Sus scrofa: one gene and its partners. The protein of the gene in region 3 binds, or shares a complex with, the protein of the main gene of each other region. Links are inferred from orthologs where the notes say so. Each region holds a gene or a part of one and is shown on either strand. Other genes may lie near its edges.

The links.
Region 1: B9D1 (region 3) and TCTN1 share a complex: the UniProt entries of both Homo sapiens proteins name them as parts of the tectonic-like complex. The link is inferred for Sus scrofa from reciprocal best matches to the Homo sapiens genes B9D1 and TCTN1.
Region 2: B9D1 (region 3) and TMEM17 share a complex: the UniProt entries of both Homo sapiens proteins name them as parts of the tectonic-like complex. The link is inferred for Sus scrofa from reciprocal best matches to the Homo sapiens genes B9D1 and TMEM17.
Region 4: B9D1 (region 3) and TMEM67 share a complex: the UniProt entries of both Homo sapiens proteins name them as parts of the tectonic-like complex. The link is inferred for Sus scrofa from reciprocal best matches to the Homo sapiens genes B9D1 and TMEM67.
Region 5: B9D1 (region 3) and TMEM107 share a complex: the UniProt entries of both Homo sapiens proteins name them as parts of the tectonic-like complex. The link is inferred for Sus scrofa from reciprocal best matches to the Homo sapiens genes B9D1 and TMEM107.
Region 6: B9D1 (region 3) and TMEM231 share a complex: the UniProt entries of both Homo sapiens proteins name them as parts of the tectonic-like complex. The link is inferred for Sus scrofa from reciprocal best matches to the Homo sapiens genes B9D1 and TMEM231.
Region 7: B9D1 (region 3) and TMEM216 share a complex: the UniProt entries of both Homo sapiens proteins name them as parts of the tectonic-like complex. The link is inferred for Sus scrofa from reciprocal best matches to the Homo sapiens genes B9D1 and TMEM216.

The regions. Positions count from the first base shown.
Region 1 is NC_010456.5:32,003,654-32,007,367, forward strand, and holds part of TCTN1 (tectonic-1), read left to right. Parts: intron 1-858; coding exon 859-1,021; intron 1,022-3,008; coding exon 3,009-3,134; intron 3,135-3,183; exon of another isoform or gene 3,184-3,581; coding exon 3,582-3,714. UniProt on the Homo sapiens protein: Component of the tectonic-like complex, a complex localized at the transition zone of primary cilia and acting as a barrier that prevents diffusion of transmembrane proteins between the cilia and plasma membranes.
Region 2 is NC_010445.4:79,414,376-79,418,727, reverse strand, and holds the start of TMEM17 (transmembrane protein 17), read right to left. Parts: upstream 2,962-4,352; 5' UTR 2,906-2,961; coding exon 2,806-2,905; intron 1-2,805. UniProt on the Homo sapiens protein: Transmembrane component of the tectonic-like complex, a complex localized at the transition zone of primary cilia and acting as a barrier that prevents diffusion of transmembrane proteins between the cilia and plasma membranes.
Region 3 is NC_010454.4:60,165,473-60,168,901, reverse strand, and holds part of B9D1 (B9 domain-containing protein 1), read right to left. Parts: intron 2,735-3,429; coding exon 2,623-2,734; intron 160-2,622; coding exon 63-159; intron 1-62. UniProt on the Homo sapiens protein: Component of the tectonic-like complex, a complex localized at the transition zone of primary cilia and acting as a barrier that prevents diffusion of transmembrane proteins between the cilia and plasma membranes.
Region 4 is NC_010446.5:42,882,411-42,886,124, forward strand, and holds part of TMEM67 (meckelin), read right to left. Parts: intron 2,616-3,714; coding exon 2,499-2,615; intron 2,394-2,498; coding exon 2,289-2,393; intron 1,410-2,288; coding exon 1,307-1,409; intron 1-1,306. UniProt on the Homo sapiens protein: Required for ciliary structure and function. Part of the tectonic-like complex which is required for tissue-specific ciliogenesis and may regulate ciliary membrane composition.
Region 5 is NC_010454.4:53,394,092-53,398,490, reverse strand, and holds TMEM107 (transmembrane protein 107), read left to right. Parts: upstream 1-1,426; 5' UTR 1,427-1,570; coding exon 1,571-1,657; intron 1,658-1,826; coding exon 1,827-1,894; intron 1,895-1,996; coding exon 1,997-2,097; intron 2,098-2,846; coding exon 2,847-2,943; intron 2,944-3,167; coding exon 3,168-3,237; 3' UTR 3,238-3,991; downstream 3,992-4,399. UniProt on the Homo sapiens protein: Plays a role in cilia formation and embryonic patterning. Requires for normal Sonic hedgehog (Shh) signaling in the neural tube and acts in combination with GLI2 and GLI3 to pattern ventral and intermediate neuronal cell types.
Region 6 is NC_010448.4:12,160,665-12,164,378, reverse strand, and holds the end of TMEM231 (transmembrane protein 231), read right to left. Parts: intron 2,607-3,714; coding exon 2,501-2,606; intron 2,131-2,500; coding exon 1,950-2,130; 3' UTR 485-1,949; downstream 1-484. UniProt on the Homo sapiens protein: Transmembrane component of the tectonic-like complex, a complex localized at the transition zone of primary cilia and acting as a barrier that prevents diffusion of transmembrane proteins between the cilia and plasma membranes.
Region 7 is NC_010444.4:10,119,250-10,123,478, forward strand, and holds the start of TMEM216 (transmembrane protein 216), read right to left. Parts: upstream 3,012-4,229; 5' UTR 2,389-3,011; coding exon 2,352-2,388; exon of another isoform or gene 2,338-2,351; intron 1,696-2,337; coding exon 1,594-1,695; intron 1,018-1,593; exon of another isoform or gene 912-1,017; intron 793-911; coding exon 700-792; intron 1-699. UniProt on the Homo sapiens protein: Part of the tectonic-like complex which is required for tissue-specific ciliogenesis and may regulate ciliary membrane composition.

The DNA of each region.
Region 1 (3,714 bases), on a different chromosome or scaffold from region 3:
CCTCATTTTCCCCATCCCAGAGGCAGTCCCTTTCAACTGTTATAGCTGATTTTTTGAAAATTTACCCCCAAATCTTTAGCCTACATATGAGACTACTTCTTGATTTTTTGTTTTATAACTTATTTTAATTTTTTATTAACGTAAATTGATCTACAATGTTCCAGGTGCACAGAAAAATGATTCAGTTATCCATATGTGTGTGTGTGTGTGTGAACTTGTGTGTGTATGTGTGTATATACACACACACACATACATATCTATTCTCTTTCAGATTTTTTTTCCATTATGGGTATTACAAAATACTGAATCGGAGTTTCTGTTGTGGCTCAGAGGGTTAAGAACCCGACTGGTATCCATGAGGATGCGGATTTGATCCCTGGCCTCTCTCAGTAGCTTAAGGATCTGGTGTTGCCATGAGCTGTGATGTGGGTTGCAGATGTGGCTTGGGATCTGGTATTGCTGTGGCTGTTTGGCTGTCAGCTGTCCCTCTGATTTGAACCCTAGCCTGGGAACTTCCATATGCCAAGTGTGTGGCCTTAAAAAGAAAAAAAAAAAAAAAAAAAAAAAAAATCAAACTAGTGACTGTAGTTCTCTGTGCCCTACAGTAGGTCTTTGTTGTTTATCTACTTTATTCTACTTATTTATTGAGTTCCCACTGTGGAGGGTGAAGATTTGGCTCTTTCTCCTTTGATCCCTATCCCACCACACACTGCTTCCCATCCTTATATCTCCCCAGGATATCGACATCCTTATTTTGGTTAGACCAGTATTCATCACTGACATTAATTAAAAAAGAAAAACTGCAGGTATGAACGAACAATCACCTCATTCAATTGACCTTGTTTTCCTTCCCAAAAGGCTGACCAAAACTATCACATGTCGGCTGGCAGCCCAGAAGGTGAAGAGCCTGCTGAAGGGTCAGGGCTTCCCAGATTACGTGGCCCCATTTGGAAATTCCCAGGCCCAGGATGTGCTGGACTGGGTGCCCATCCACTTCATCACCCAGACATCCCATGTGAAGGTAAAAGGGGAGAAGTTGGAAGGCCACATGCCGGTGGGTAGGGGGCACCTATTGTTGTGGGGGTGCTCTGGATAGGAGCCTGGACAATGTTGTCAGATGGACCTGGATCCTGAGTCCTGATTTTGCCCCACTGTTGCCTTTGGCCAGCAGCTGGATGGGTTTGAGCCTGTTTCCTCACCTGATAGCTCTGGTACCAACCCCATGGGCTTGTTGAGGGTTAAATGACGTGATGTTCATGGTGCCTAGAGGTTAGTCTATACATGGGAACCGCGACCAGTCGCCATCCTGTTCCTGGTTGGCGTTATACGAGGCCTCCTTTAGACATCGTGATATGATAGCTGTGTCAGGATTGTCTCAGCAAGACTCCCCCATCCACATAGCTGTCCCATCCATTGTTCCCTGGTTTATAAAAGCAGTCCACATGTGAGTGCTTTCAATTCTAAAGTTCCTGAAGGAGTTTAATGGAAGTTGACATCCTACAAATAGGTTCCGGATCACATGTGGTTCTTCTGCCCACCTTTTTCTTTTGTCTCAGCAGTCAGAGTGTGGGCCGCCGTCACTGGAGGCGTGCTCTCCATCTTATCCTTTAATTGCCCAGCTTTTGCTTGTCACAGTTGCTTCAGGCCTCTCATTATCTGCTTGGTGTATTTATAGCTCGGGGATAAAGGGGGTGAAGACTAGCTCGCTAGCTCTGATCCCGCCCTCCCCACCCGGTGCCCAGCGGAGACCTGTGATTACTCAGTCCCTGCTGTTCAGCTGCTGAGTCTTGGCTCAGCTCTGTTGCCCCATTGAACCAGGCAGGCTGCTTGGGGCTTCTCAGAGATGGGTTCAGACATCCAATTATGACCTCCCCCTCAGAAGGGAAGACAGAGTTGGCGGAGAGAGGCAGCAGGATGGACATAAGCACTGCCCAGGTCTGTGCTGGTCCAGGGAGCTCAGAGGGCCGGGAGCAGGTTCCGTACCAGCCTTCCGGGTGGAGCGGCATGAGAGTATCTGCTAGACTCAGTCCGTATCAGCTGCATCTCCTCCTAATAATATTCTCAAGGATTTTTCAGCCTGTAGATTTCTTCAAAGGCAGTTCTAAGCCAAGGAATCTCACCCGTGCCTCTTTGGCAGGCACCAAATTTAGCAGGCCTGCTAGCTTCTCATGCCCTAAAGAGATGTATCTTTAAAAACTTTTTACTGTGGGAAACTTTCTTACCTACACAGAAGTAGAACACTACAGTGGAATTCCATCTCCCACTGTACGGCTTCAACATTATCACGTTTACCAACTGAAGAAACTAAAGGCAAGAAAGAGGTCTGGAAGGCCCACTTGCCAATTTTCCCCATGGGGCAGACCAAACAAAGGTCCTAGGGCAGAGGCCTCAGGCCTGGCTCCTAGTGTCCAGCCTGCACTTGGGTAGCGCCACTGTGGCGCCAGTGCTCTCGGTTCAGATGGAGAGTTAATGTCTTTGACAACTTAAGACACTGTCTGTTTACCCTGATGTAACATCTTCATTGCCAACTGGTGAAATCAGATAAATGAGAAGAAAGCCCTTAAATTTTCTCTAAGTGCATTTTAACATGGTATGCAGTCAGGTTTTATTTCTCTCTGATAATAATACTACTTCCCACTCCCTCCCCTGTTGCCAGTTTCTCCTCTAAGGTATCTCTGTGGTGGATGTAAACAGGTAGGTGAGGTTAGAGCTCCTAAAGCCCTGGAGGTTCCACATTTAGCTATTAGAGTTACCACAACTCCCAGGTAAATGCTGGCCTCTTTAGAAATAGGAAGGGATGGAAAAATTATGCTTTAGGTGGAGCATTGAGTACTTTAAAATATGTGCTTTCTCTAAGCTGTTTTTATCTGAACTTCTAGAGTCTATTCATTCTCTTGTTCAGAACATTTTGTAATATGTGAAACATTTTATAATTAAAACTCTGAACTGCAGATTAAGTTTGACTTGAGGTTGTATAATACGTTGATTAATGGCATTTTGTTTTGCAGGATTCTTGCCAGCTCCCAGTGGCTTTGGCTATAGAAGTGAAGTGGACTAAATATGGATCCTTATTGAACCCACAGGCTAAAATAGTCAATGTAACTGCAAATCTAATTTCATCTTCTTTTTCTGAGGTAGGCCTAACTTTAAAGGTATGGGTTAAGACATGAGTCCAGACAAAACTCAGTTGTGATAGATGAAATTTATTATTTTGTAAAAAAAAAAAAAAAGAATAATTAAAATTTAAACAATCTGAATTGTTAAAACAGCTTAGCAGTCATTATCTTTTAGAGGAAAAAAATTCCACTGAACACAGTGGTTTTAGTCACATTAGCATTCTTGTTTAGATTTGAAATTTACAATTCTCATGAAAATTGAGCTGTGAATGATATTGATGTGTTAGGACAACCTGAATGACAGCTGTCTCCTCTGAGTTAATGGCTGATGAGCCCTCTGCGTGGCTACCAGATTCATGAACCGACAGCAGTTGGGTGAGGAAGGGAATGAGAGCTGTCCCACCTTTGTTATCCTGGTAACACGCTGGAAGGCAGGGCTTGCATCACTCTGACTTTTTATTACAGACCCACTTAGGAAATGAAAGGACAATTCTTATTTCTACTGCGGTTACTTTTGTGGATGTATCTGCACCTGCAGAGGCAGGCTTCAGAGCTCGGCCAACCATCAACGCCAGGCTGCCCTTTAATTTCTTCTTCC
Region 2 (4,352 bases), on a different chromosome or scaffold from region 3:
CCGAGCAGCATCTGTGACCTACATCACAGCTCACAACAACTCCAGATCCTTAACCCACTGAGCAAGGCCAGGGATTGAACCCATAACATCATAGTTCCTAGTGGGATTCGTTTCCACTGTGCCACAATGGAAACTCCAAGAATTTGATTTTTAAAATTGAGCCCCCCTACAAGGCAGCTCTGTGGCACAACTGATAGTACATTGGATTTTTAATGGATAAGCAATGAGGTCCTACTGTATTGCACAGGGAAATATATCTGGTCTCTAGGGATAGACCATGATGGAAGATATGAAAAGGAATGTGTGTGTGTGTGTGTGTGTGTGTGTATATATGTATATATATTTATATATATGTGTATATATATATATATGACTGGGTCACTTTGCTATACAGCAGAAATTTGGCACAACACTCTAAATCAACTATCCTTTGTTTTTTTAAAAAGGAAAAAATATAAAAAGACTTTATAAATTAGAAACAAATGAGCCCTACAAATGCATCCTAAATTTGACTAAAAATTCTAACAATTTAAGAACAGATAACATACTTTGAAATCCACAGTTCTAAAAGAATGGATTTACAAAGACTAAATTTTTTTTTTTTTTTTTTTAGGGCTGCCATAGGAAGTTCTCATGCTAGGGATCAAATCGGAGCTATAGCCACTGGCCTACACCACAGACACAGCAACTCGGGATCTGATCGAGTCTGGGACCTACCCCACAGCTCATGGCAACACTAGATCCTTAATCCACTGAGCGAGGCCAGGGATAGAACCCGCATCCTCATGGACCCTAGTTGGGTTCGTTAACTGCTGAAGGCTCTAAAATTTCTTAAAAGTATATTTTTATTTTTCTCTATAGCTGAGTATTTTATATCTATCATTTAACAATTTTAAAATGTAAAATAATCACAGTCTCTCATAGCAAGGTTTTCTTTAGCTCCAAGAATATCCCTCGTTATTATGATCTACTTTTTAAACATTGTGTGATTATGATCTACTTTTGCTTGTACTTATTGATTAAATTGCCACTGATCAAGGCATGCATTCTTAAAATCTGTTAAATCTGAAGATAACTCACCTGCCTAGGATTTTTTTTCATAACAACCATACAACTCTTGGTCAGCTGTGGACAAGGTCATAATATACCCTTGTATTTACAGTACAAATAATCGAACCTATTTCAGATCCACAAAGAGGAAAATGTGGAAAAATATGATAAATTAGTTAAGCTGAAAATTTTAATAACTTTAGAGCAAACACTGTAGTCAAATTTTGCAAAGAAGTTATTATGTTAAGAATTTTGTACACAAGCCTCTTAAGAGTTATGCTATGTCTATATTTCAGAGATCAAACTTATAATCATGCAGTTGAAAATCAAGTTAATATGTAAATGAACTTTGAAAGCAAGCACAAGACATGAATTTACTAAATTTTGCAAAAGTACAAGTTGAGTTCTATAAATGGAATTTAAATTAAAACATTTTATAGTATAAATCAGGGGTAGGCAGACTACCAGCCAGCTGCCTGTTTTTGTATAGCAAGTGAGCTAAAAATGGTTTTTTCACATTTTTAAATGGCTGAGAAAAAATATCAAAGAATAATATTTTGCGACACTGAAAATCATAGGAAATTCAAATTTTAGCATCCATAAATAAAGTTTTATTGGAACACTGCCAAGTCCATTCAATTACCATCATCTATGGCTGCTACATGCATCTATGGCCTGCAAGGTCTCAAATATTTACTATCTGGCCCTTTACAGAAAACCCCTGATACTTTACATCATCAGATTTTAGTGCCTGTTAAGCTTTAGAATCAGAAATGTAAAAGTCAATTTTTTTTTCACATTATGTTTTTCTCTGTACATCCTAAATCATGGAGGCTTAAATTGGAGGGACAGGCTAGTAATCAGCGTGGAAAATGAAACTATGGGAACAGACTTCTCTCTGCCTCCTTAAAAAAAAAAAAAAAAAAAAAAAAAAAATCCCTAAACCAAGCAAAAGGAAAAGATTTCTATTTCCCAGCACAGTTCAGTGATAAAAAGCGCACGGGTTTGGTTCACAGTATGTTGTCTATCATCATGATTTAAGAGGGGGAAACTGCAGGAAACTGCGTTGTCACTTGTCATGTTGAATGTAGCATCATGGTATTCTGTTACTTGATTTAGGGCAAGAGTTATATATAGGGAAGGAGAAGAAAGCAGGGAGAGGGTGAGTTTTGTTGGAGACGATGCTAGTGTGGCAGCTGCCACTCTGAATTGGATAGCGTTTAAAATAGTTCATTAAAACAAAAACAAAAACTTTTCATGCTTTCTGCCAGAAAACGGACTTGTGGTGGAACATACTTGTTCTGGTAGAAAAGAAAAAAAGGAAAAGATATTTTACTGGGGTTGGGGGTGGGGTGGGACGGGGAGATTGCCTGGGCTGTTTTCACTCCATCCTGGACATAATATGCCAGGGCGGATGCCGCAGAGGAAAAGCAAAGTCGGCCTTCTCAGCCTTCTCGGAGGGCGCGGGACTGGACGCGGAATGCGAAGGCGGGTTTTGTTCTTGTATTTTTTGAGGAAGGCTGGCGCCACGTCGGCCGCCCCTCTTGCAATTCGCCCGCGAGGCTACAGCACCATCAGCCGAAGACCGCCTGGGTATTTGGCCCCGAATATCTGGTCCTAGCCCCAGCCCCAGGCCCAGCCCCTCCTCCAAGGAGCCTCCCGCACTGCGGTGAACTCTCTGAAGACGAAACCGCCATCTTTGGTCTGGGCAAAATCTGGCCGCTCCACGCGCTGCGCTGAGCCTCGGCCACTCACCCGGACCCTCGCTATACTCCGGCCCGGTCCGGTTGGAGTCGCTGAACACGGTCCGGCTGAAGTTTCCCAGCCGCTGGCGGACCGGATCCGGCAGCTCCATGCTCAGGCCTCAGTACTGCTCCCACCTGGGTCTTCGGGCACCGTGGCGCTTTGAGGTTCCCACAGCAACCGGGCCGCGCGAGGCTGGGGGCTGGGGCGCACGCGCGGCCCCGCTGCGGGCTGAGGCGCCAGGCAGCCCTGGAAGATAGAGGAGTGCAGGGAGCCAGTTCCTGCCCAGCGCCTCAGCATGATGCCAAACCGCAGATTCCTAAGTCCTGCTTTAACGGCCACCATTTTAAAAAAGGAATAAAAATAATAATTAGTGACTAGAGTTGGATTGTGATACAAGGAGCTCTAAGACCTTGCCAGTGGGATACAATCTTTCTGGGAGAAAATATAGAATGAATGCTGAGTTAACAGACTGTTCATGACCCAGTAGCTTGTGTGTGTGTGTGTGTGTGTGTGTGTGTGTGTGTGTGTGTGTGATATTATTACATCCTAGGAATATTTTTTAATATATGCATGCCGTATGTATACAGACACATATGTATGTATACACATACATACTCTCTTATAGGAATACGTTATATATTAGGAATATTATATATATATACATAGCATATATATACGATACACATATATATTGGGTGAAATACATTGAAGCAGTTTAAAAGCATGTTTGCAATGAATATTTAATGATGGGTTAACTTTAAATTAAAAAAAACCAGAAGTAAAACTAAGTAGGAATGAACCTAATTTAGTAAAATGTGTGTGTGTAAATATATGGGGAGCAGAGAGGGGGAGAAGATGGCACAAGCACTGTGGCTTCAAAAGAAGACTAGAAGAAAATAATCCAAAATGTTAGTAGTAATGTCTAGATAGTGATTGTGGGTGATTTAAAAAATTTAAAATAGGAATTCCTGTTGTGGCTCGGGGGTTTAAGAACCCAACATAGTCTCTGTGAGGATGTGGGTTGGGACCCTGGCCTTGGTTGGTTAGAGATCCGGAGTTGCTGTGGCATAGGCCTGCAGCTGCAGCTCCAATTAGACCCCTAGCCAGGAAACTTCCATATGTCACAGGTGTTGCTATAAAAAGAAAAAAAAATTTAACCACTTAGTATTTTTCTAGCTTTCCCTCAAATAAGATGTATCGTTTCAGACAGACAGACAAACAAACAAACAGACAAACTGGTTAGGTACAATTATGTACAGAAAAGTGTACAAACTGAATATACAGGTGTAACAAGAACCCAGATCAAGAAATGTAACTTTGGAGTTTCAGTTGTGGCACAGTGGAAACAAATCCCACTAGGAACCACGAGGTTGCGGGTTCAATTCCTGGCCTTGCTTAGGATCTGGTGTTGCCTTGAGCTGTGGTGTTGGTTGCAGATGCGGCTTGGATCCTGTGTTGCTGTGGCATAGGCCTTCAGCTGTAGCTCGGATTGGACTCCTAGCCTGGGAGCCTCCATATGCCATGGGTGTGGCCCTAAAAAGCAAAGAAAAAGAAAA
Region 3 (3,429 bases):
CTCTCGGGAGGCCCCAGGACATGCCCCGCCGTCCCAGGGCCCAGCGGCCGGGGGAGACCTACCGGCCGGGGGAGAAGGGCACATGCACTGCCCCGTAGCCTCGGACCACGTCGTTCCCGAACACGTCCGGCCCGTACACGCTGAGCACGATCTGGGGCCCTGGGAAGGACAAGGCAGGTCAGGGCTTCGGCCCTCCCAGGAGCGGGGGCGGCCAGGGCCCATGCACGGCCCGGGGGCCCGGGGTGCTGCCTGGATTGCAGGGCTCGACGCACCCAACCCGCAGCTGGGGACCCAAGCGTGACCCGGCAGATGGCCTGCTCCCGGGACCTGCTCTTGTGAGGGGCGGTCAGACTCAAGTGCGTGCCACACGGGCACGGGGGTCAGAGAGAAAGCAGAGGCCTTAACTGGAATTGTTCTTCCTGAAATAAAGCCGAGCCCTCGCCTGCTCCTCGGGCGCTCGGACGCACCCCCTGCCGCGGGGCGGTAGCTGCTCCACCGGCCGGTCTTCTCATCGGTGTGCAGCCGGTGTGAGCTGCATGGCTCGGCTCGTCACCCTCAGTGACGGCTTTTGCTGAACAGATGCCCTGAGTTCTAACACAGCTGAACGCACGGACCTTCCCCTGTGGGGTCCTTTGGTGCCCCCATGGAATCTTCCTGGAGCCTCATCACTGGGGACTCTGTGCATCCGATGGGACGCAGGGAGCAGCCTCCCTCTTCTTCCTGGTGTATCCAGCTGTGCCAGGGCCACGTCCCAAGACCCTCCTCCCTCCCCACGGGCTCGCTTCTGCCCTGGGCTCCTACGGGACTGTCTGTCTGTCCTGGTGCCACGACTGTCTTAGTGACTGTGCTTCGCAGTTAGAGCTGGACCTCTGGCACCCTGGGTTACATCGGCATTACTGAAAAGGACCTTCTTGTAAGATGTCAATTCCCCTTTTCATATAGAATACATGTTCTGTTTTCACACGGAAAGCAACTGACTTTTGTATACTGCTCTTATATCTGGCAGTCATGCCAATTGATTAATCCTAATGATTGCTGCCGGCTCTTCTGGAAATTCTGCGTACATAACGCCTTGTCATTCATGGGCGAAATGGTTCTGGTTCTCATGCCTTTGAATTGTGCGCTGGTGGTGGTGGTGACGGAGCTGAGAGAACTCTTCCAACGTTGCACTGTAAAAACGTGACGTCTGCTCTGAGCTTGCGTAGGCAGCCTTATCAGATGAAGGGGTTTCCTTCTACTCCCGGTTTGCTTCATGTTCATCACGAATGCATGTTGAATGTTGCTTTTTCTGCATTTATGGGGATGGTGGTGACTCTTTTTAAAGGAGTGAATCTCTTCTCTACTTTTTTCTTTGGCTTTTCAGGGCCGCACCCTCGGCACATGGAGGTTCCCAGGCTGGGGGTCGAATCGGAGCTATAGCCGCCGGCCTACGCCAGAGCCGCAGCCACGCAGGATCCAAACCCCCGTCTGTGACCTACATCACAGCTCACAGCAGTGCCAGATCCTTAACCCACTGAGCAAGGCCAGGGATCGAACCCTCGTCCTCATGGGTGGTTCATTATTGCTGAGCCACGACGGGAGCTCCTATAGTGAGTCTCAGTGTTTGATTTTAGATTTACACAAATGCATTACTTCTGGAACAAACTCTACTTGCTCATGACATGTCACCCTTCTGGTATCCTGATGAATTTGCTGTGTGCTCGGGGCTCGGAGCGCCCGACCCACTGAAGGATCTTCCAGCTCCGTGGGTCCCTGGCCCAGAGCGGCCAGGACACGTCTCCGTCAGCCTCTCAGTCACCTCGCCGGGGATCAGCCAGCACTCGCAGCTCCGCCTCTGTCCTGGGTGTTGGCTTGCCGGGTCGCCACCACTCTGCAGCTCTGCTGCCTCCAAGGAGCTGTTTTCTGGTTTTGCTTTTTAATATTTTATTCGCCTTCCCCAGCTGGTCTCAGCAGATTGGGCCACATCTCGTGCCCTGTTCCAGGAAGCCTATGGAGGTTTCCTACTCACGGATGGTGACAACAGGATGGCGGCCCTCGCCCAGGAGGACCGCCAGGCAGCCTGGCATCCGGTCAGCCCAGTCACACCCAGCATGAAGGCCTGGACTGTGGAATAGAGGGACCTGAAATCAAATCCATGCTCAGCTGCCAGAGGTAAAGCTGAAGCAAGGGATGGCGGCTCTGAGTTGCCGATGCCTGACGTGGGAGAAGCGGAGAAGCCCCGGGTGGGATGGGGAGGCTTGGCCCAGCCCATGGGGGCAGCCACAGCCCGGAGCAGCCGCCCCAGGCTTTGCACATGGCCGGCGCTTGTTGTGTGAGCGCGATCCCTGACCACCAGTGGTCAGCAAGCCCCGCCGACCAGGGGGCAGAGGGCGGATGTGGGCCCGGCAGCGGCAGCGGAGGAAGGGGCCTGGAGGGGCAGCAGGGCAGGGGCCGCCAGGGGAGCCCTGGGCCAGCCCGCCCTCCGCAGGCAGGTGCCATCCGGGGCTTCAGGCAGAGGTCGAGCTCGCGCAGAAGGGCGGGAAGGGGAGGGGAGGGGCCGTCGCCGGGTGGCTGCGAGCACGTCGCGAGGCTGGTCGGGGGCCCAGGTGACGTGCGGTGGCAGGGCGAGGGCCGCAGACTCACAGCCGTGGGGGTTGGTGCTCTTGAAGGTGACGTCGATGGGGAAGTTCCACACCAGCGCGCGCCTGGCATCCCGGCTCTTGGACGTGATCTGGGAGATGCCCTCCTCCAGGCCCTGCGAGGACAGGGACGGTGACGCGGGCGGGCCGGCTCCCGGGGTGGAGACCTGTCTTCCTCCAGCAAAGGAAGCTGAGGGACGGGGAGCGGCTGCCAGGCTCTCTTCCCTCAGGGCCACCTGGCCCTGTGCCCGAGTTCCACCGCGCCTCCGGGGGGTGGGGTGTCCCCCTCAGCCCGTGCCCGCATCCTGCCTCCTCTGCCCGCCCCCCCAGCTTGTTCCCAGCAAAGCTTCTTCAAAGAGATGCGGACACGCACCAGCTCCAGTTCCTTCTCGGCCTTTCGTCCCTGAACCCACCGCACCCTGACCTCTGGCCCCCGCACGACCAAAGTGTTTCTGTCACGTCACCAGGGGCCTGGCTTGCTGTGTCTGTGGCCCCTTCCCTGTCCCCATGTCACCAACCAGCCTTGACACGACTCCTGCATGCCATCCGGGCCCCGGGCTCTGCCCCCCGCTCTCCCTGCTTCCTCCTCGGTCCGGAGCGGCCTGAACCTCGGCCCCCGGGCACCCTTCCCCTGCACCTATCATCTCGGCATACGCTGTGTGCTGATGCCCAGCCCGTGTGTCTGGCCTGGCCTCCAGGTCAGCGTGGCCAAGGCTCTGCTGCCGACCCCACGGCCCCACCAGCCTTGGCACAGGCCGGCCAAGCTCTGCAGGTACTGCCAGGTCTGCTCCGGCTGCAGGCTTCTCACCCA
Region 4 (3,714 bases), on a different chromosome or scaffold from region 3:
TCCTTGAGGGACAAAAATTTCTTTAAAAATGTTTTTGGAAACAAGTGTTCTATCGATAGGATAAAGCAAAACTCCTTAGGGTGTCAGAAAGGCCTTTGGGACTCGGTCTCTGCCCTCTTTATCATTCACGCACTCCCCTCTCACTGTCCCACTTCAATCCAGCCTTTGATCATAAAGTTCATAAGTGCATAATACCCTTTCCTCCTTCTGCACAAATGTCATTGCCTTTCTTCCCTGGACCCTCCTATTTGACAAGAAAAACTTATTTTTAAGACCTAGTTTAAATTTCTCCATGATAACTCTCTGACTTCACCCGTGTCTAGTTAGAATTTTCTACTTTCCTTTCTGCACCCAGTGTAAGCTGTGTCTGCACAGCCTTCTATCCCACCATCACTCCACTCACCTACCACATGCCTACCTTCCACAGTCTACTAAACACGATGCCCAAAGGAGGGACCACTAATGTGGGTATCCCAGGACTGGCACCACATGCGGCACGCACTAACACGTGCACAAGTGATATCTAGGCCAGGACATTAGTTAGATCATTTCCATTCTTCCCAAGCCAGGCAAGAGGTTCGGTCACATTGAAAGTGACTATACTACTTTTTTAATGGTAAAAGAGCAGGTTTAGTTACTATTCCTATCACAGATATCTAATTTTTAAGAATTTGGATAAAATGAAAAATCAAATTTTTCAAGATAAATCATGAACATTATTCTTCTTTAAGTGTTTATAAGTGTGCCACTAAATGAACCTTCCAATAAAATCTGAACTTTATGTATTTGTTTTACTATCTCTTCCATGTGTACCACTGATTTTGAAATTCAATGTTTTACTTTCTTATAAAATAATTATCATTTATATATTTGTTTCTTGCTACTGAAAACTACGTAATTCTTTTATTTTTATTTTTTTTGTCTTTTTGCCATTTCTTGTGCCGCTCCCCTGGCATGTGGAGGTTCCCAGGCTAGGGGTCGAATCAGAGCTGTAGCCCTCAGCCTAGGCAAGAGCCACAGCAATGCCAGATCCGAACCGCATCTGCAACCTATACCAAAGCTCATGGCAACGGCAGATCTTTAACCCACTGAGCAAGGTCAGGGATTGAACCTGCAGCCTCATGGTTCCTAGTCGGATTCATTAACCACTGAGCCATGACGGGAACGCCCTGTAATTCTTTTAAGTTAACTAAGTTCATTATGTTTCCTATATAAAAGTATAAAATCAAAAAACAGTAACTACAAGCATGTTTCTTTCAAACTTGGAAAATAATAATCAAGTTCAGCAAAGGCATTTGAAGGATACCGTTGTAAAAGATACTTTTTTCCATTGGTTCCATGAATTCCATTCCAAGAATTCTTTCAAGAAGCAATTTATCTTTTATAAAGTAGTCCATTTCCTTATGAACCTAATATAAAAAGCAAGAGTCATTTCAAAAATAACAGTGAAATAAATGCTTTCCAATTTTTGTAAAATCTGAAGCAGAGAAAAAAAATGAATAGTACACAAAGCAAATCTGCCCTTCAAAAAGACAATTTACTATGCTTGGCTTTATAACAAAATTCTCTTTAGGAATGTTTTAAATTTTAAATGTCATTATTAGTATTCACAGTTAGATATTCTGAAAATCAATTTATAACCAGCTTTTCAGGAAGACAACCATAATATAACATACATCTAAAATGAATAATATGATAATATTTTGGTAACTGACAAAATTCCGGAATGGATATATTTTAAGGTAATCATCATGCTAATCAACATGAAAATTTTTCATTTTACTTTTACATAACTTAAATCCATCCCAGTATTTTGTTATAACCTATAAGGGAAAAGCATCTGAGAAAGAATAGATATGTATGTATAATAATCACTTTACTTTATACCTAAAACTAACACAACATTCTAACTCAACTACGCACGAATTAGAAAACAAACAAAAAACCCACAAGGGTTCTAAGTCCACTGACTTGATTGAATTAAGAAATAATTAAAAAAAAAAAATAGGAGTTCCTGTCGTGGCTCAGCAGAAATGAATCTAACTAGTATCCATGAGGGTGAAGGCTCGATCCTCGGCCTCACTCAGTGGGTTAAGGATCCAGCGTTGCCATGTGCTGTGGTGTAGGTCGCAGATGGGGCTCAGATCCCATGTTGCTGTGGCTGTGGCGTAGGCCAGAGGCTACGGCTCCAGCTGGACCCCTAGCTTAGGAACCTCCATATGCTGTGGGTTCAGCCCTAAAAAGCAAAATAAATAAATAAATAAATAAATAAATGCTGATATACATACATGATCGATGAAAGAGCCAAGAAATTTATTCATAGTATGATATGCTTTTATACTCTGCTCAAAAGTACTTGCTGATGAACTCAACAGTCTAGCAGGGCCATTTCTCTAATGTGAAAAGACACAAGGATAAATGCAACATGCCCTACATTGCTGGTTTTTAAATAACATGAAATATTGACAAAATATACCTGAATTGTACTTTATACAAACCCTTGTTAGTGTTTCATGAATTCTGTCATAGTGTTGTCTCATCTGGCTAGAAATTGCAATCTGAAAAGTCTGACCATCTGTATTGGGTACCAACCCTCTTTGGCTACACAAATTTTCCTGAAAAGTTAAAAAACTTAAATTAAGATCAAGATTATGAAAATTTTGCTTACTCAAAAATAAAATACAATATTCAATAAGATGTAGAAGCCAACTGAAAGTGAATTGGAACTATATTTGAGACAAAGAGATTCTAACATCATCCAAGGCTGCCCTCTCCTCTAAGTTTTATTAATTTCTATCTTGTCATAATCCCTTGCAGGTCTTTATATCATCTATTTTACTCAGACCTACTTTTAAAAAGTTTGTACTAAAAGTTCATTATGTACTCATATTCTTAGCTTTTCTTTTTGATTAATTTATTGCTCCTTAAGGTATGCCACAAAGTCTAGCCTTAGAATTAACTACTTTCATAAATGGGCTTTTTTGTTTTCTAAACACTTAAAATTTTTTCTTTAATTGGAGTTCCTGTAATGGCTCAGTAGTTAATGAACCCAACTAGCATCCATGAGGATGCAAGTTTGATCCCTGGCCTCACTCACTGGGTTAAGGATCTCGAATTGCCATGAGCTGTGGTGTAGGCTGCAGATGCAATTTGGATCCCCAGTTGCTGTGGCTGTGGTGTAGGCCAGCAGCTACAGCTCCGACTGGACTCCTAGCCTGGGAACCTCCATATACCATGGGTGCGGGCCTAAAAAGACAAAAAAAATTTTTTTTCCTTAATTAATTCTAGTGAAAAGGTAGTGATGCATGACCCAGTGGTTAATGTTATGGACCAGATATCTCTTGACATGACCCAAATCCTGAGAACATATATATGTCTGTAGCATTTTGCCCTATGCCCTACCTAACCAATTCTCATTGATAGTTCAAGGCTCAGCTCAAGTATTCTTGCCTCAATTCTCCTGACTTTTATCCGCCTACTCTAGAGCTTAACATTCTCCTTCTTTGTCTAAAGCTAATCTGCAAACATAATTTAACACTTGGTTAATTTCTCTATTAAAATCCTCCCCCCCATTTAAAAAAGCACATGCTACTACAGAGAATTTATAAAATTTGGAGAGCTATAAAAAAAGAAAAAAAATCAACTATAATCTCAACACCAAGAGTATTTCAAGGTAGTTCATTTCCAGTTGTTGGCTAGGTATATACAGAGATG
Region 5 (4,399 bases), about 6.8 Mb from region 3:
CACACACACACACACACACACACACACACACACACACACACACGAAAGCCTATTTGTGGCCTGTCAAACATTCCACATCTGCTTTAATTGTTATAGAAACAGGCACAGGAACCAGAAGAAAAGAATACCCATTGTTAAAAATAATGTGCCCTCTTCCTGGGGTGCCAGTGCTGGCACTCCCTGGATGATAAGACTCCCTTCCCAGGTGCCAAGGACATACTAACTCACTGCGTAGGTGCTGGCCTGTTCTTTTTTTTTTTTTTTCAATCTTGAAGAATTGCAGCCCCGACTTGTTTAATATTCTTTGTTCTGACAGGATATAATACAGTGCTGGAAATCATGCATCTTCTGAGCAGTTTCTAAGAGTGATATGGGAAGCAGATTCAGGGCTACTCAGTAGTTTGGCTCAAATGAAATTTTCTTCAATTCTTATTTTAGATCCTTTATTGATTATTATCATTGGCAACGGGAAGAAGAGCGATGATCCGGTAAGAGGGTAGGGAGGTCCCTGTGAGGTTGTGCATATGAGAAATGAACTCCGGCCAGAACTTTCCGTTCTGCCTGGAACCCTTTTGAGGCCCAAAGGTCAGGGAGGTCGCTGATAGTGAGAGATGCTTGGATAGTAGCTGGGCAAAGTCAAGTGCCCACGCCTCAAAGAGATAAGGAAATCCTTGCAGAGTCTGCATCGACACCCTCGCTCCTGGCCTCCCGGGGACGCAAGGTCTCATTCCCTGCCTCCACCCCCATCCCCAGCCCTTTCTGGTCCTCTTTGTTCCCTCTCTTCCCCAAACACACTTCTTGGGGCACACCCTAGTCCAAGAGAGCGGGCCACTTTCCGCGATGTGCAAATCCCTCACCAGTCTGAGCAAAGGTGTCTGGGGCGTGAGGGAGGGGGAACTAGAATCAACGAAGGTGCAGGTATGGGGTCCTCCAACGACCAGGGGCTCTGGGACAACAAGTGGCAGCCGGACAACATAGGCACATCCACCTCTCCACGTTCGGCCCAGGGCACGTGGGAGCTAAAGGAATGCGGAGGAGGGAAGGAGAGAGAGCATCCAGGCCTCAGGCACAGACAGCCGTGTCCGGAGGTTCATCCGGGACAACGCAGCAGGGGTTGGGGGTCGGGCTGCACCCGGCGTGGGCATCCGGAGAAGGGGGGGGTCCCAGGCTAGGCCCGGAGGGTTTCCGTTCGCCGGCGCTGCGCGGGCAGACTGGACGATGCAGGGCAGCGCCACCGCACACTCGGTGCTGACCGCTCGGCTGCTAGTGACCAGGCAACGGATAATCGGCCTCCCGCCGGAATCAAGTACGACGCAACCTGACTTGCAGTCCCGCGACGGCACGCAGCTGCTTGACAGTTTAATGCTCTCGCGAGATTTTCAGAGATCCGGTCGCAGCACCAGCTACCGCAGTTACCAAGGCAACTGGGCGGTGCCAGCGCGAGCGGGAAGGAGGCGAACGTCGAATTTTTGTCTGCTAGCCTAGGAGACTTGAGGACTGGCCCTCCCCGAGTTTCCAGCCCTAGAAACCCCGGCCTCTGCTCCAGGCAGTACCCCGTCCCCTGGGGGCCATGAGCCGGGTCTCGGGGCTCGTGCCCTCTCGCTTCCTGACGCTCCTGGCGCATCTGGTGGTCGTCATCACCTTATTCTGGTCCAGGGTAAGACCCACGGCCCCGCTCCGTTAGTCCACGCTCCCACCTTGGAGTGGTCCTGGCCCCACTCTACGCCTCTCCCCGGGGGCTTACCCGGTCGGGTGCTCCCCCCCCCGCCCCCACCCCGCCACCGCCGCCCCTCTCTCAACTTCTTTCTTTCTGCCCTGCTCCTCAGGACAGCAACATCCAGGCCTGCCTGCCTCTCACGTTCACCCCTGAGGAGTATGAGAAGCAGGATATTCAGTGAGCACCTGGGGCAGGGTGGTCAGAATTAAGCAGTCGTGGAAGTGAAGGGGTCTTAGAAAAAGTTCAAGAGGCCTAAGCCCACACCCTTCCTTTCTGCAGGCTGGTGGCAGCGCTTTCTGTCACCCTGGGCCTCTTTGCAGTGGAGCTGGTCGGTTTCTTCTCAGGAGTTTCCATGTTCAACAGCACCCAGAGCCTCATCTGTATCCTTTCTTCCGTGCACCTTTCCTGCACCGGCCATTTTCATCACAGCTCCTCTCCGCCACCTAACTAGGCCTTTCTGGTACATTGGTGTTTGTTCTAGTAGGCAAACAGAGTCCCTCCAGTTGAGAAATCTTCTTAGGCACTGTGGGAGATTTAATACAATCTTTGGGCATCTGTTAAGCTCCTGCTATACATCAGTCACTGGAGATCTCAAAATGGGAGTAAAACACAATTTTCTACCTTGAGGAAGAGTTAGACACAGACAGACATCTGTAATTCCGTGTGATAAGCACTGTGCCACGGGATGTGTAAAGATATGAAGCTTGTGGGGACACAGACGAGACAGAGGACGTGAGGGAGATGGATTAGGGAAGGCTTTGGTACTTGAATTGTGGTCAGGGAGGACCAGGGTGCTGGAAAGTGATTCCAGCAGAGAGTAAAAGGTCACAGAGTGCTTGGAACAGATGGGGAGGCTACTACCTCACCTGAACGGTCCAGGCTAGATATGGGGTGGGGGTTGCTTAAGGTCCCAGCTGTGCAGACTCAGCTCCTCTACTCACATGGCTGCCCTAAAACTCAGGATTCAGGGCTGCTGGCTCTGGCCTTTGCAGTGTGGTAAGAGGAGCAAGAGGTGCCCCGCTTCCTAGGATGTAAACCTGAATGTAGATGCCAGCCCCCAAACCGGCCTTTTCTGACCCATTACTACCTATTGATCCAAAGGATTTCCTTGACTCTAGTGTGTTCCAAGCCATTGGGGCTCACTGTAGTGCATCTGTGGCCCTGTCCTTTTTCATATTTGAGCGTTGGGAATGCACCACGTACTGGTACATTTTTGTCTTCTGCAGGTACGGTAGCACCCAATGTTTGGGCATGGGAAAGCAACATTAACTCTAAATCTGAAGATTTCCCTCACCCAGCTCTTTACTCCATGTATAAAATATCAGATCCACTCAACATCCTTTTTTGAAGTCCCCTCCCTCCTACATTTGGGGGTGGTATCTCTGGCTTGGGGATTTGGATTTTTTTATTGGATGAAGGGGACCCCGAAACCACCACCTATCTTCCGCAGTGCCCTCCCAGCCGTCACTGAAATAGCGTTATTCATCAGCGTCTTTGGGCTGAAAAAGAAACCTTTCTGATACCTTCATGACCGGAAGTACGGATGAAGGCTGGAAGAGCGAGGGATCGCTCACCGTTCCTGGAAGAAGGAAGTCAGAGGCTCCAGCTCTTCCTCCAAAACTGCGTCATGGAGGGTATCAGTGTAATAGTAATTATCTCTCGAGTCTGAAATTATGTGTGCTTTGCTTATAGTTCTTTGTAATAAATATATTTTTAGAATATGATCGACTTATAAAAATTTCAGATGAAAATTGGGGTGGCCAAAGTGATGGCTGTTTTCTAGGCCTGCGGACTGTAAAATAGTATATTCGCTTTTATTTTGGTTATTACGGTAGAAGTCTGGCGGGAGGGTGGGCGGGGATATGTAAATAAGGCGGTACTTACGGGTGGGACACCCGGCTGGTAAGTGAGTGGAGCATTCTGGGAGGAATTAGCTTATCCATTTTTGATAGCCAAATGGAAAAACTTATTTTAAAACATTTGGAAATAAATGTACCAAAATATACAGAAGAACCCAAGTAGGCTTAGTTGCTCGGACCAACGCAGTGTTTACTCATCCTATCTTTGAGAGGAATCTTTTTCCCAGAGTGCGGAATGTCACGCTAAACGTTCTTATCGTCAGGTAGGATAATCCTTACCTGTTCCTCCTTCGGGAGGGCAGAATGGAAAATGATGATTGGAGCTCGCATGATTCGTGATTAACGGCTCTGCGTAATCAGGACTTGCAACACCCTGATTGCTCCTATCTGATTCTTCCTGACGATCAGCGCTTTTTATCAGAGTCTTCACGGTTAGAAAGCTGTTGTTGTAGGGAAGACGTTGTACTTCCTATTTCTTGCTAGTACTTTCTTTTCAATTGTGGCTCTTGTCGCGGATGTTAGTGTAGTGCTAACTCCTCAAATCCCTTCTGCCGCGGAGCAGGCTTCCTTTTTAGTCTCAATGGCTGCAGTTTCCACCGGAAGGTTGGTCCAGGTTCTGAATCCACTCAGTAGTCTGCAGGGAACTCCCTGCTGCTGCTGCCTGGGAGGTGGTGATGACAACACGTTCAAGAGAATGCTGCTTCGCATTATATACACAGACTGCAGGAGTCTGAAGGTCGGTGTTAAAGCATGTGTATTCTCAGGGTCATGTTTAGATTCATTACTGAGTGGAATGGTGGAGCCCAGCCATCCCTGGAGATGC
Region 6 (3,714 bases), on a different chromosome or scaffold from region 3:
GTAATTTTCCAGCCTGTGGTTTCCACATGCCGTGTGGATTCCACCAAAAACTCACGTTTACTTGGGGCTGGGCCAGAAGGCTGTGGCCAAAGAGCTAACAAAAGCTCCACGGTCTTTGGGCAGAGCCCTGGCAAAGCAAGCCGCTAGTGAGTAACCCGGAGAGGTGTGTCCGGCCTCTGCCCTCCCTGTCCTTCCCCTTTCCAAATGCCTGCCCTCTAAAAAGCCACATGCAGCCTTGCAGTTTGAACATTTTAATTAGAAAGTTACAAAACATCGTGGCTCTCTGTACACATTTTGCTTGAAAATAACTTAATAAAAGGCAAAGCCGTGTTTATACATATCTCTAGCTATCTTTCCTTACCTCGTTACGTTTTGGTGATTCAAACCAGAAATGATTTTTCACTTAAGTCTCAGGGAAAAAAAACTTTAGGCATAACAACAGCCCTGACTATTAAAAGAAAAGGCAGAGGGGCCAGGGTTCAGCTGTTTTTGTGCGTGAATACGTCAAAGGCGCTTTGTTTCCAAAACTCTTTATTTTGGTCAGCCTGAAAGAAGAGGTGCTTGGGAAGTAAGACCTGAGTCTCCAGGGGAAACTGAGGCATGCCATGTGCCCATGAGTGTGTGTGTGTGTGTGTGTGTGTGTGTGTGTGTGTGTGTGTGTGGATGGGCATGAAGTGTAGGTCACAGAAGCCATGTCCTTCCAGTGCCAGTGACATCTCGGTGTCACAAAGCAGGTCCAGCAGTCCTTAGGGCGAGGTCAGTTGTTCCACAGGCGACAGAGGCTGGTTCCAGTGGCCTCGTCTGCAGACACTCACTTAGTCATGAGGGTAATTTGGCTGGACTGTGTGTCACTCCGCTAAGTGGCTTGGACTCCCCGGGCTAGCATCCTTTTCGTCCCCTCCCTGCTCCTCGGGGGTCCTCCCCAAAGCGGCCCCCTCTGATGGGCGTCCTGCTGGCCCTGCAAGTAAACTCTGTGGTTGTCAGGCAGGGGGAGCCCACAGCAACAACAGCGCCTCTGTCCCCCGTGTCCTTTTCAAGAAGGGGAGGGCTGTCAAGGAGAAGGAGTGGCAAGTGTCCAGGCTGTTGGGCGAGGGCCAGAGAGAAAGAAGCTGTTGTTAGGCTCCTTACTTCCCCCACCGGGGCCAAGGGGCTTGTGAATGAACCAGCCCGGCGGACCGCAGCCCGCTATTCCAGGGGCACAGACGGAGGGCCGAGAGCCAGGCACAGCAGGGCAGGGATAAAGGGCTGTTGAGCTGGGCTGCTGACAGACGACTGTCTGTTAGGCTCAGGGCAGGTGGACGGATGGTCCTGGTGACCTCAAGTCGCCCACCCTGGCGCACGTGCACACATGTGCTCCGGAGCGCTCCCCGGTTTCGCTCCAGGGGTCCGGTTAAAGGCCTCTCAGTTCTGGAAACGAGTTCTGAATGGGAAACGTCGATGCCCAGGAGGGCAAAGTGCTGGTGATTTGCATATCTATCACCAGGGGGCCCTGGAAGGAGTAAGAACCGTGGTGGACACTGGGGGGAAAGAAATGCAGAGCGCTTTTCTCAGTTCAAGGGAGGAAAAGTCTTTGCTTGACCAGAGATGGGACTCTTTCCAAGAGGTCTGAACTGACTGGGGTTTTCTCCTGACATTCAAGTCTGAGGCAAAAAAAAAAAAAAAAAAAAAAAAAAAAAATCCAAAAACAAAAACCAAAGCAAATTACAGCCTTCAGGAACCCTCAGCCCGTTTCCACAAACTAGTCCCTGATTATTTTTGTAGGCGCTTAGAAGATATGGCATTTGTGTAGAGGATAATGAGACAGGATTGTTCTTTGTCTCCGACACGGGAAATCACAGAGGCGGGCAAGTGTCCAGGGCTTCTTTTTAGAAATTTCGTAACATGGCAGGTCTCGGGAGGCAATGGTGAGACAGCCAGGGTCCGGCTTAGAGTTTTCCGAAAGGGTCTTCTTAGGATAAGTGCTCCTTGTATGGTTCTCCCTGCGACCCTGCTGTGACAGGGACTGTGGTCACCACCTGATTTTGAAACACAAACCTCTTGATTCTTTCAAACACCCAGAGGAAGATGAGCAGGATACTGACATACTGGACCCAGGCAAACTTTATCATTTCCCAGAATCCCGGGAGATAAGTACCAACAGTTAAGGAATCACAGATGACATTTTCTAAGTAAATGTTAAACCAGAGGTTTAGTTGAGACAGAAAATGACAAAAATGTTTCAAATACCCTTAAGATAAAAGAGACAATAAAAGATTATTAAGACATAAATATGGATGCTTCTGACCTAGAAGAACTGCTCAAAAAGAAATAGGAACAGGAAATGAATTTTTTTTTTTTCTCTGTATCAACTGCAGACAAACAGAGTCATATCTGTGAGACTCCAGTGGCAGCAATTTCCAATCTGAGACTTCCCACATCTGTTCCTTTTGGGGACAACTGTGGAATCCTTCTTTTCTTTTGTGAAACCGAGCTCCTGTTGGCCCTTTACCAGAAAGGATATGAAATGACTTCCACAGGGTATCGGATGACAGCATTAATTACAAATGGAGCTTCTGCAGCCCTTCCCACCAGCCAGATGGGGTTGGGGTTGGTCAGGATGGTGGTTACTGCAATACAATCGGGACTTAGTCCATGAATGCTCTTTTAGGCAATAAAATAGTCAAGGCTATAAGAACAATCTGACCTCAGGCAAATTCTACACTGCAGAACTCATCCCCAAGAAATAACTTTTTTTGGTCTTTTTTTTTTTTTTTTTTCTTTTTCTAGGGCCACACCTGCGGCATATGGAGGTTCCCAGGCTAGGGGTCGAATCGGTGCTGTAGCCGCCGGCCTACACCACAGCCACAGTAATGCGGGATCCGAGTCGTGTCTGCAACCTACACCACAGCTCACGACAACACTGGATCCTTAACCCAGTGAGCGAGGCCAGGGATCGAACCCGCAACCTCATGGTTCCTAGTCGGATTCGTTAACCACTGAGCCATGACGGGACCTCCACCCAAGAAATAATTTGAAAGGAAAGAGAAATGGAACATGCAGAGTTGCTCACACATTATTTGTTAAAATACTTGTCAGAATACATTAAAAACTTGAAAAGTCTGTGTCTTCTACAACTGTTGAATGGCTAAGCAAAAGAATACTATACTACCACGAAAAAGAAAACCAATTAAAACTTTGTAGCCGTGTGGGGAAATATTTATATTACAAAGTACAAAAATAAGGTGGATCGTAAAGTGTCTCTAAACTATGATAAGAGCTGTATAAAAAAAAAAACCTGTGTTTGGACAAAGACTGGAAGCCATAAAGAGAAAAGTTGACTTGTAGATAAATGGGGGTTTTTTTGGCCACGCCCACAGCATGTGCAAACTCCCAGGTCAGGGATCAAACCTGCACCACAGCAGGGACAACACCAGATCTTTAACCTGCTGGGCCACCAGGGAACTTCTGTGGATAAATGTTTTTAAGGTGATCTAAAATCCCTTTATTTGGGGAATAATGCTGCTGGTGTAGTACATAAAATCAGAAGGAAATACTGGAATTGCAGTCCCCTGACTTGGTATATGTCAGTGAAGAGTATCTATGACGTCTGGCTGCCAAGCAACGCTTTAGATGCCTTTAGAGAAAACCTCAGACCACCAACCAGCCAGATGTGCTGAGCCAAGCACACAGGCTGGCCTGCGAGCTCCTCCGCTGTGAGGGATGGACCCCCTCTGC
Region 7 (4,229 bases), on a different chromosome or scaffold from region 3:
GCCACAGCCACAGCCACACAGGATCTGAGCCATGTCTGCGACCTACACCACAGCTCACGGCAACACTGGATCCTTAACCCACTGAGCGGGGCCGGGAATTGAGCCCGTATCCTCATGGATACTAGTTGGGTTCTTAACCTGCTGAGCCACAAAGGGAACTCCTCCCTTGCTAATTTTTAAAACGAGGTTATCTTTTTCTTAGTTCTTTATGTGAACCTCTTTTTGTTGAAGTTATTTTTTTCCCTCAGTGTATGTTTTAACACCGTTTTCAGGGATGAGGTAACTCATGAGGGATTGCTCTGTACCTCCGGGGATGTAAACTTGTCCTAGAGAAATCCTTTTTCAGAGAACCGGAGGGGACCTTATTGCTGATCTACTGCCCTGGACATGGAGTTACAACGAAATCTCTTCTCCCAAGAAACCAGTGAGAGGAACCAGGCACTCCTGTAGTTAGATAATCGGGAAGGAATGATCTAATATCTCATGCCGCCACCCACCTGTGGCGCAACAGAGCAATAGACAGGTAAGTCTTGACCCCAAGTATGAAGCCGCCTGAAACTTCAGAGAGGGTGTAACGGGATATGCCACCAGATCCACTCTCTCATTGTGAGCCAAGGTTAAGTGCTTTTCTTTGTTCATCAAGTTACAGATACCAGCTCATCTCGCAAGGAATGGAAATAGCCTCTGGACAACACTCACCAAAAAACAGTCGAATTGCTTCAATGCCAAGATAAAGGAAGAGCATCACCACATCCAGGACCAGATTGGCTGTTGGATATGGTAGCAGGAGACCTGCGATACAAAAGCCAGAGTTTGCAAACAACGTCGAACAGCACACACAAGGTCTCCCACTCACTTGGGAATAAAGAGAACATGAGTCTTATCATGTTCTCTTCCCATGAGCTACTTACTGAGATACGGGCAGGATCCGTTAACTCATGGTGCGGCTATGTCTGTTAGAGGCAGGCTCGTAATTATGGGCTTTTACTCCTAACTCCAAGAGTCTGTGGGGCTCTACTGCATATGGAATGGATGGGTGGTCAGTGGGGACCTGCTATTTATAGCACAGGGAACTCTACTCAGTATTCTGTGATAACCTACATGGGAAAAGAATCTGGAAAGGAATGGAGATGTGGATATGTGTAAATGAATCACTCTGTTGTACAGCAGAAATTATCGCAACATTGCAAATCAATTTATAGTTGCAATCACTATACTTCAATAAAACCTTAAAAAAAAAAAAGATTCTGTGGGGACGCCACTCTCCAGTTATCAGATCAGATGTACACGGATATACGGCGCTGAATAGCTTCTGAGGGTCACCAATGGGCTTAAAGTGGAGTTCAGCAAAGAGAGGTGACAGGGGAGAGTCAGAAGGGAGAAGCCCCCATTTCCCAAACTCAAGAAATTCTTGCTGAGTGGCTTCCTACTGAATCATTCTCAAGGAAGCCATCTGATGAAGAGACCTTGCAGTGAAGAAGAGCTGCAGGGGAGCAGAAAAGAATGAAAAAATAAGGCTTTGGGTGGGAGCTGGCTCTGGGCTGAAGTGGGGAAGGGATGTTGGGGAAAGGGTAGTTAAACCCCAGACCTTACCTTTATACAGAAATATGAAGAGTTCCAGCAGGAAATAGGTAGCATAATACCACCCGTTCAGAAAGAAGAGGATTTCCAGGGGGGTGGAAGATAACCGTTTACCTGAAAATAGGAGCACAGAGAAAAGAGACGGGCTGGAGGGCAGGCAGCTCAACCCCAGTTATTTGAATGGTTCTGTGTCTAACTTGGAGGAAACAGGAGGCCGCAGCTGGTGGAAAGGGCCACTGGCGGCACTTCTGATTGTTGATGAGAAGGTGTCTGTGTGGTGTGTGTGTGTGTGTGTGTGCACGCGCGTGTGCGTACGGAGTGTGGAGGGGTTTCAGCTGACAGAAAGGGTCCCTGGGGGCACTTCTGTTTGCTGATGAGGAGTGAGTGTGTGTGTGTGTTTCCTTCAATCTCCTCCTTTCCAGAATCGCCATCAAACTCTACCGCTTCGGCTTTGGGGGTGAAAGTCAGGGATCTAACCTCGTCGCTATTTAGGAAGGAAAACTGGGACCCAGAGACAGCACTGGCCAGTGTGAAGCCACGCTGCAAATTCCTATTGAGCCGGCCTAGAACAGGCTGAGCCAAGGATTTGGGGGTATTTGAGACCCACATCTCGAGACCTTCTGGCACTCAGGGTAGGTGAGGCTGCTAAACCCTGCTGTGGACAAGTGAGGAGAATGGAGGGTTCAGGTCGACGCTGGGAGAGGAGGGCGGGGTGGGGGGGGAAACTGAAGGGATCAGGACCAGCAACTCACACACCTCCAGAACCTCACCTCGCGGCGCCATCTTCAGTCCCCATGGAAACTGCATACGCGGCTACAGCACTCCTGGAGCAGCGAGGCGTTGCCGGAAGCGAGGGACGGAGCGGCCCTGGATTCGGGCCCTTCTATCCGCCTGCTGCACTCGATGGTTACCTGGGGCCGGGGGCACTCTTGTGACGGCCACGCCTGCGCCGGGAGGAGCGCGGGCCGCGAACCGACTTCGCTGGGGTTTTGGCAGAGGACTGATAAGAAAGCAGATGATGTCGTCTGCAGGACTCCGAGGGCGGGGCAGTTTTCGCCCCGCCCCCATCCCAAATTTACCAGGAATTGTTCGAAGCAGCCAGTAGTGGTAATGTGATCAGAGTTGGTGAATAGGCCCTGGTCCCATGGTTTCTTTACTAACATGGGTCTTAAAATGAGAAATAGTGTGCGCGACAGTGCGCTGCAAATGCGGCGTGGAGTTTGGGGATCCTTTGTGTAAACAGTCTTTTTCTGAGGGGAGGGGATGCGGGGGTAGGGTTTTTCTATGCATCTGATTTATGTACCAGGGAGTTAGAAGATACCAAAGTTGGAGTTTCCCTTGTGGCTCAGCGGAAAGGAACCTGACTGGTATCTATGAGGATGCAAGTTGGATCCTTGGCCTTGCTCAGTGGGTTAAGGATCCAGCGCTGTGGTTAACTGTGGTGTAGGTTGCAGACGTGGCCAGGATCCCAGGTTGCTGTGGCATAGACTGGCAGCTACAGCTTCAATTCGACCCCCAGCCTGGGAACATCCATGTGCCACGGCTGCGGCCCTAAAAACTAAAAAGACAAACAAAATAAAAAAAATAAAAAGAAGAAGAAGAAGGTACCAAAGTTAGTCGGAACTGGAGGCTCCTTTCAAGGAGCATAAATAAGAGCAAAAGATGAAATATAATCAGCACTTGACCCCAATGTGCAGTGGCAGTTGAGAAGACAAAGTACTCTCGGTAGGGGTTGGGAGACGTTTCCAAGACATGGCCTGTAAACTGGGCTTTGAAACTTGTTATGATTTGGAGCAGTAAAAATGTGTTACCCCACAGGGCAGGGGACTAGGAAGAAGGGTTGTTTTTTGCTTTTTTAAAATTTTGTTTATTGTAGTTGATACAATGTTCTGTCAATTTCTGCTGTACAGTAAAGTGACCCAGTTACACATATACATACATTCTTTTTCTTACATTTTCCTCCATCATGTTCCATCACAGGAAGAAGGGGTTTGAATGGACTCAGGGTGACATAGGGGTTAGCCCACTGTCAGGAAGGGTAGGACAGGAAAAAGATGTCACACTTGTAGACTTTTAAAAAATGCGCAATGTGAGAATTGTGAGTTAAATTTTTGGGCCGTCAAAGTGAGGACTATAGCCTGGGAGGCAGCATTTCAGATAGCTCTGGAAAAAAAAATGCTCCAAAAAAGTGGGGGCAATGCCAGTATATATGTGATTTTGGTGAAAGGGGTGGTACAATTTAGCAGAAAGTTACTCTCCTTTGGTGAAGTTTCCCGCTAGTCATGAGGAGCAGGCATCACCATGAAGGATTTTAGCGCTTTTCTAGATATGAGGAGATGCCAGGATTGGGTTCATAAAGTCTTCTCCCCAAAACACCTATCTGAAGACCTGTTTCTTCCAGTTTTTTTGGGGGGGACACAGCCACATCCATGAAATACATCTGCTTTCATGTAATAGGCTTTCATGCTTTCAGGCTGAGTCGTTGCATCACTTGTTAGGACTATATGGCTCACAGGCTTAAATATTTACAATCTGGCCCTTTAAGTAAAATTTTGCTGACTCCTGTCATAGACAGCAAGGAGTAGCTCCCATCGGTGCTAAAAATAGGCAATAAGATTGAAATAACAAACACAGGAGCATCATTGTGG